2 linked regions of the Macaca mulatta genome follow. The protein of the gene in region 1 purifies or fractionates together with the protein of each later gene. This does not show direct contact. Links are inferred from orthologs where the notes say so. Each region holds a gene or a part of one and is shown in the gene's direction. Other genes may lie near its edges. The genes, in order: FAM117B and DCAF7.

Evidence for each region.
Region 2: the proteins of FAM117B (region 1) and DCAF7 purify together in Homo sapiens (affinity purification with mass spectrometry; 3 studies listed by BioGRID and IntAct, with this or other methods). This does not show direct contact. The link is inferred for Macaca mulatta from reciprocal best matches to the Homo sapiens genes FAM117B and DCAF7.

Annotation. Positions count from the first base shown.
Region 1 is NC_133417.1:107,833,087-107,837,359, forward strand, and holds the start of FAM117B (protein FAM117B), read left to right. Parts: upstream 1-1,396; 5' UTR 1,397-1,715; coding exon 1,716-2,307; intron 2,308-4,273.
Region 2 is NC_133421.1:73,377,474-73,381,284, forward strand, and holds part of DCAF7 (DDB1- and CUL4-associated factor 7), read left to right. Parts: intron 1-3,348; coding exon 3,349-3,521; 3' UTR 3,522-3,811. UniProt on the Homo sapiens protein: Involved in craniofacial development. Acts upstream of the EDN1 pathway and is required for formation of the upper jaw equivalent, the palatoquadrate. The activity required for EDN1 pathway function differs between the first and second arches.

The DNA of each region.
Region 1 (4,273 bases):
CCTCTCAAAGTGCGGCGATTACAGGCATGAGCCACCGCACCCGGTCTCCTCTCTGGGTCTTTAAAAGCCTTCCACCTAACGCCTGTAATTCCAGCACTCTGGGAGGCTGAGATGGGCGGATCATGAGGTCAAGAGATCAAGACCACCCTGGCCAACATGGTGAAACCCCCGTCTCTACTAAAAATACAAAAATTAGCCGGGCGTGGCGGCACGCACCTGTAATCCCAGCTACTTGGGAAGCTGAGGCAGGAGATTTGCCTGAACGCGGGAGGCGGAGGTTGCAGTGAGCCGAGATCGAGTCACTGCACTCCAGCCTGGGGGACAGAGCGAGACTTCATCTCAAAAAAACAAAACAAAACAAAAGTCTTCCACCACCGCGCACAGGGATCCAGTAGGATTTCAGGTCCAGAGTGAATCATACTATGGTCTCCACTCCCACATTTTTACACGACGAAATCTGTCTAGCATGTACAACTAATAAAAATAGTACAGGGAAAAGAGGTAATGGATAGGCAATTTATAGCCAGAGAGGTGGGAGTGTAGGTTTTGGGTCCACCATTTTTTATTTTCTTGATAAGGAGCCCTTTAGGCCATTTTAGAACTAGTGTCACTGCCTGCCTTCCTGGGTCTTTGCCACACCAAAGACTTGTTTCCTCCACTAGACAAAAACATGGATGGCTGGCCCAGTTCTGTCTCAAACAATGATCGTGTAGAATCAAATAAGGCCCTCTGTAAACTATAGCATTTTACAGACTGGTAAGGTAGCAGCCATTTTTCCAAGGTATCAGGGAACAGCGAAGCAGCTGATTAAAATAGTCTTGATTACTTGAGATACAGAAGGGTAGGAATAACATGTGGTAACTGAACTCCATAGATACTATCTAAAACCGCATTCTAACAGGCAAATTTAATCTTTCTGAGATTTGCCTCTTTGTAGAGCTCTAAAAAATAAGAAAAGGAGAGGGGTGTAAAATGCCACTTAAGATTTGTTAAATTTCTTCTCCTTTTGAGCCCTGTCCATAGGTAGATGGAATTAGGGCAGAACAAAAACATTAAGAATAAAAGCCCGAAGGAGAGGCGCGTACATGTGAATACAAGTGAATACTGGGGTAAGGAAATGAGTTATGCGGAAAAGGCTTCAGACCATCCCTGGGAACTGTTCCGGGTCCGGACATTTCCTTTGGCAACCTTCCAGAGTCTGAGTCCCCAGGGCTCCCCCCTGCGGGAAGGGAAAGGCGCGCGTGGCTAGGCGCGCGCGTACACGGGCACTCACGTGTACACACACACGCGCGCACACTACACATACACACACTGCCCATTTCCTCCGCTCCCTCCCCGCGGGGGGCGGGTCTCTTTCTCTTTAAAGAGCAGACGGTCTCCGCGCACACCCAGGCTCTCAAGGCCTCGGGGGCCCGGGACCCGAGCTGCTCGTAGCCAATGGGAGCGGTAGAGCGGCTCGAGCGCGGCTGACGCTGCACCAATGGGCGATCGTGGGGGGCGGGGGCAGCGGAGGAGACACTATTGTTGATGAGGAGCGGCGGCGGCGGCGGCTGCACCACCTCGTTGCTGCCGGTCCCGGCCCGGTCGCCCCCTGCACCCCGGAGTCCAGCTTCGTCACCCCGCGCGGGGGCCTGCCCTCCGGCCTCGAGAATCCTCCCCCTGCAGCCCAACAACAAAACCCCCCGTCTCGCCCAGTCACCGGGGAGGGGGGGACCATGTCCCAGCGGGTGAGGCGCAATGGGTCCCCCACGCCAGCCGGCTCCCTTGGGGGTGGTGCGGTCGCCACGGCCGGGGGACCCGGGAGCCGCTTGCAGCCCATGAGGGCTACGGTTCCGTTCCAGCTGAAGCAGCAGCAGCAACATGGCAGCCCCACGCGGAGCGGCGGCGGCGGCGGCGGCGGCAACAACAACGGTGGCTGCTGTGGTGGCGCCTCAGGCCCCGCAGGCGGCGGCGGCGGCCCGCGCACCGCCTTGCGCAGCACCAGCCCCACGCGCGGCGGCGGGAACGCGGCCGCGCGCACCAGCCCCACGGTGGCCACGCAGACGGGCGCGTCCGCGACGTCCACGCGAGGCACCAGCCCCACGCGCGGCGCCGCGCCTGGAGCTCGCGGGAGCCCCCCACGGCCGCCGCCACCGCCGCCGTTGCTGGGCACCGTGTCGTCGCCCAGCTCGTCGCCCACCCACCTGTGGACCGGCGAGGTGAGCGCGGCCCCACCCCCAGCCCGCGTCCGGCATCGGAGGAGGTCTCCGGAGCAGAGCCGAAGCTCGCCGGAGAAGAGGAGCCCTAGCGCCCCGGTTTGCAAAGCAGGTAAGTGCTGGGGGTCGCGCAGCGAGGGGGAGGCGGCGGCGGGAAGGAGTCCCGGGCGCGCGCTGCAATCGCGCGGGGAATGCAGCGCTGCCGCGGAGCCCGGGTGGCTGGGGGCGGGGCTGGGGGCGGTGTCGGGCGGTGGGGACCGGGCAGTGCGGCCCCGCCTTTCCCGGGCCTACCCTGCGCCCCGCCCGCCCGTCTCATTCATTCCTCTGCCCGCCCCGCGCGGCTCCCTGGCGGTGGAGGTGCAGTGGCTAAACCTTGGGCTTGAGCTGATGAGTGTTAATGATAACCCTGGCGTCCTGGCCGTATTCCTGGAGGAGTCGTTACTGCTTACCCTCCTTTGAGGGTGAGGCTAGGAGTGGTTTATCACTTTGTTTTAGGCACAAGGTTAATGTTGGCATAGCCCGTATCTGCTGCTGCTAAGTATTTCTGTTCACAGAACAGTTTCAGATCTGGGGTACTGAATGCATTAGCAGTGGCAGATTTGGATCACTGAACAGACGAGGCTGAGACCCGTGTTTTAGCATTTTCCAAGACTTTGATAAATGGGTAGCAAGAAGTGAGAATTAAGCAAGATTCCTTAGGAAGGTTTATGGGTTTTGTCTGAGGTTCTGGGTGTATTTCTGATTTTGTGTACTGATTCTGTTGTTTGAATGTAGAAAAACAGAATCCAGTGTTTGTCTCCATCTTGTTATTGTTTTAGGGAGCTAACATTCGTTGTTTTTCTGTTTACCTGGAAGCTTTCTTGGGGAAAGTCGTGAATGGAGCTGTGGGTGCCATTGGAGTCATTCATAAAGAGTAACTCAAAAGAAAAATTCAAATTGTGGGAAGTGGAAAGGAATAAAATTTATCATCTTGTTGCCTTGAGAAAATAAATATGTGGTTTTTAATTATGTATTCATTTTTGTCAACATATATCTTTGTCTTTCCCTTACTGGGATAGTTCTGTTAGAATCTTCCAGGCAGAATGGTTGGGAATTTCAGGAAACAAATTCAGATGAAATAGTTTCCGAAATGGAAGGAATAGGATGACTCTTTCTTACTGTTTATGAAAAGTTTTAGATAATACTTTTTTTAGAGATAATTGCCCTGGAAAATGATTAATAGTGTTTTCTTTTTTTGAGGTAGAATCTCTGTCACCCAGGCTGGAGTACAGTTAGGCGATCTTGGCTTACTGCAACCTCTAACTCCCGGGTTCAAACGATTCTGCCTCAGCCTCCTAAGTAGCTGGGGTTACAGGCGACCGCCACCATAACCGGCTAATTTTTAGTAGAGACAGGGTTTCACCATGTTGGCCAGGCTGGTCTCGAACTCCTGACTTCAGGTGATCCGCCCGCCTCGGCTTCTCAAAATGCTGGGATTACAGGCGTGCGCCTCCGCGAGCTGCCCGAATAGTGCTTTCTAATTAGAACTAGAGCACTGTTTTATTTATTTGTATTTATATTTTTATTTATTTTTTGAGACGGAGTCTTGCTCAGCCGCCCAAACTGGAGTGCAGTTATGTGATCTCAGCTCACTGCAACCACTGTCACCCGGGTTCAAGCGATTCTTCTGTCTCAGCCTCCCGAGTACCTGGGATTACAGGCACCCGCCATCATGCCCGGCTAATTTTTGTATTTTAGTAGAGACAGGGTTTCACCATGTTGGCCAGGCTGATTTGGAACTCTTGACCTCAGGTGATCTGCCTGCCTCGGCCTCCCGAAGTGCTAGGATTGCCCGGTCCAGAGCACTATTTTAAATCTTTTGAGAATGCAGAATGCTTTTCTAAAACTGTGATAAAAGTATTAGACTTCACCTCCCCGCTTCATAACCTCTGTCACCTGATGAACTCTTACTATGTGTCAGGTAGTTTTTATGCAAAATCTCATTTCACCTTCACTATGGCTTTTAGAGAGGTTAAGTAACAAGTTGCAGAGCTGGTATTTATTTGAACTTTGGTCAGTTGTACTCCAAAGACCATGTC
Region 2 (3,811 bases), on another chromosome or scaffold:
GAGGCATCTCTCATGGATGTCACAGAATCTTTGGGACTGCGAAGATCAACATCTCCATGGGACCTTTCAGGTTTCACTTTAACAAACCGACAGTGAGCTCTAGACACATCGGAGGGCCTCACAGAATTTTGCCTGGTTGTGGTGTGTGACTTGTGGTTTTCATTTCACTGTTTCCCAGACCAGAGCAAGCATCCCTTACTGGCCAGGCGCAGTGGCTCACGCCTGTAATCCGAGCACTTTGGGAGGCTGAGGCAGGTGGATCACCTGAGGTCGGGAGTTCGTGACCAGCCTGACAAACGTGGTGAAACCCTGTCTCTACTAAAAATACAAAAAAAATTAGGCATAGTGACACACAGCTGTAGTTCAAGCTACTTGGTACTGAGGCAGGAGAATCACTTGAACCCAGGAGGTGGAGGTTGCAGTGACCAGAGATTATGCTACTGCCTTCCAGCTGGGGCAACAGAGCGAGACTCTGCCTCCAGAAAAAAGAAAAAAAAGAGTACCCCTTAAAAATATGTTGGGCCAGGCACAGTGTCTCAGGCCTGTAATTGCAGCACTTTGGGAGGCTAAGGTGGGAGGATTCCTTGAGACCAAGAGTTCGAGACCAGCCTGGACAGTATAGTGAAACCTCATCTCTACAAAAAGTTAAAAAAACTATCTGGGTGTAGTGGTGAATTGCTATAGTCCTAGCTACTTAGAGGCTGAGGTGAGAGGATCCCTTGAGCCCAGGAGTTTGAGGTTACAGTGAGCTATGATTGTGCCACTGCACTCCAACCTGGGCAACCAAGGAAGACTCTGCCTCTAAAATAAATTTTAAAAAAAGAAAAGAAAGGCCGGGTGCAGTGGCTCATGCCTGTAATACCAGCACTTTGGGAGGCCGAGGCAGGTGGATCATGAGGTCAGGAGATCAAGACCATCCTGACCAACGTGGTGAAGCCCCATCTCTACTAAAAATACAAAAATTAGCCGGGCATGGTGGTGTGCGCCTGTAGTCCCGGCTACTTGGGAGGCTGAGGCAGGAGAATCGCTTGAACCCAGGAGGTGGAGGTTGCAGTGAGCTGAGATCGTGCCATTACCCTCTATCCTGGTGACAGAGTGAGACTCCATCTCAGAAAAAAAAGAAAAGAAAAATATGCTGTTTGTCAATGCACTTTTATTGTAGAAATACTGCGAATCTGATATTAAAAATGAAAACAGTACAGAGGCATATTTAGAGCAAGGTGAAGGTCATCTTTTCTCCTTGCTATATCATTTCTGCCTCCATCCCACTCTGCATAGATGACCTCTGTCAACAGGTAATGTATCTCCTTCCAGACCCTTTTGGTATACATTTGGGGGTGTACATCCACGCCCTCAAATACAACTATATACCTCTTCCTTTTGCACTGAGAGGATTCTGTCCTAGCCCTGTGGTGGTTTACTGCTTAACTTTTTTAGTGTGTTTTTTTTTCTTCTCCTCACTGATCAGTAGCCTTATAATGGACAAGATTCGTTATGGAGTCCAAGAAGCAATGTACTGTGGTGTTTTTCTGCCATTTGAGCATTATTTGGAAAGCATGAAGCTTTTCCTGATTTTGGCCCTCTGCTCATGCCTGTATATCTCCTTGAAGAGCAGTTGGGGGCCTGCTGCTGCCTTCTGTACCTCAGATTGTGGTTTGTCTTCTTCATTATTGCCTTTTTTTTTTTTTTTTTTTTTTTTTTCCAGCGGTGTGGATAGGGAGGGATAGAAGAAGCAGAAAAGAAAGGTGTCATCCATTATTCATGGAAAGTAGGACTGGCCCCATAGAAGCCCCATTTTCTGCTCCTGGCTTCTCCCTTTGTCCGGCTCGCTGTTTTGTGTGTTGCACCTGCCTTGAGCCCCTTCAACCGAAGGAACTGTTGCTCAAGTGTGCTCAGTTGAGCATTGAGGAAAAGGGGCTTAGTGCTTTAGAGGTGCAATTCCCTGACCTCTTGGCATTGATTATCTCTGGGAGAGGGATCTTGCACCTGGCCCAGATTATGCGGCCTTGGCAGGAGACTGGTATTGCCCACAATTGACCTATTAGGGTTTAGTTTATTCAGATTTTCTGTGTATGTGAGACCAGCTTTCATCAGAATGTATGGCAGAGTCAGGGTACACTGCAGCTCTGAAGGCCATTGCCTTTTTTTTTCTTTTTTTAAAATTAACTTACTATTTTGATTATAAAAGTAATATAGGCCGGGTGCAGTGGTTCATGCCTGTAATCCCAGCATTTTGGGAGGCCGAGGCAGGAGAATCGCTTGAACCTGGGAGGCGTTGGTTACAGTGAGCTGAGATCGCACCATTATGCTCAAGCCTGGGTGACAGAACAAGACTCCATTTAAAAAAAAAAAAAAGTTATATAAGCACATTACGGATCACTTAGGAACTAGAGAAAAGTAAACGTAACTCCTAACCTTGTCATCTTAGTATTGCCATCATTCTCATTTTAATATATTTCCTTCTAGTCATTTTTCATGTGCTTTTATATATTTAAGGTGATTACCATCTTTCTGGTGTTTCCCATAGCTATTTTCTTGGATTTTTTTTTTTTTTTTTTTTTTGAGATGAAGTCTCACTCTGTTGCCCAGGCTGGAGTGCAATGGCACCATCTTGGCTCACTGCAACCTCTGCCTCCTGAGTTCAAGCGATTCTCCTGCCTCAGCCACCCGAGTAGCTGGGATTACAGGTGTGCACCACCACATCTGGCTAATTTGTAATTTTTTTTTTTTTTTTTTTTAATAAAGATAGGGTTTCACCATGTTGGCCAGGCTGGTCTTGAACTCCTGATCTCAAGTGATCCGCCTGCCTCGGCCTTCCAAAGTGCTGGGATTACAGGTGTGAGCCACCATGCCTGGCCAGGAAAGAATTTTTTAACAGCACATACCAACACTACTTTGTCAGTCTTCTTCTATATAACAACTCACTGAAGCATAAATGCCCATCAAACAGGGAAGAAACGCTCTCATTATATTGAATGATCAGGAAGGATCTTTATAACCACTCAAGTATTTTAAGTGGCTACAAATGACATGTTTGGTATCCCCTTGTCCACTCCTGATACCTGACCCAGATGAGAAGGACTCATTCGTGCAGTGGATAGAGCCTGGGGACATCTGGGAGATGGAGTCAGGGCCTAGATTTGAGTTCTGGCTCTGCCACTCACTTGGCTGAATAGCGCCTTAACATTTCTGAATCTCAGTTTCCTCATCGATAAAATGGGGGCTTAACATAGAACCGCCGTCACGGGGATGCGTGCTTTGTAAACTGTGAATTGCTCCTGAAATGCAGGGATCATCATCCCCATTGCCTCACTTGTGACCCTGCTTGCTGGCTTTCTTTGTCCCTAGCGGATGACCACCAGGCTCTCATCTGGGACATCCAGCAAATGCCCCGAGCCATCGAGGACCCTATCCTGGCCTACACAGCTGAAGGAGAGATCAACAATGTGCAGTGGGCATCAACTCAGCCCGACTGGATCGCCATCTGCTACAACAACTGCCTGGAGATACTCAGAGTGTAGTGTTGGTGGCGCTGTGCCCACGAGGCAGGGGCTTTTGTGTTTCCTGCCTCTGCCCCACCCCCAAAGTAAGAAGAAACATGTTTCCAGTGGCCAGTATGTCTTTCATTGCTTTGCACCCACTGTTACCAGAAGCTGCTCTAGGAGTTCCTGGCCAGTCACCCCATCGCCCTCTGTGGCAGACTCAGTGCTGTGTGGCGCCTCCTCAGCCCAGGGCTGAGTTTTAAGATTTTCTCTCCTTTCCTCTTCTTCTTTGGTTCCTCAATTAAAAATGTGTGTATATTTGTTTGTCA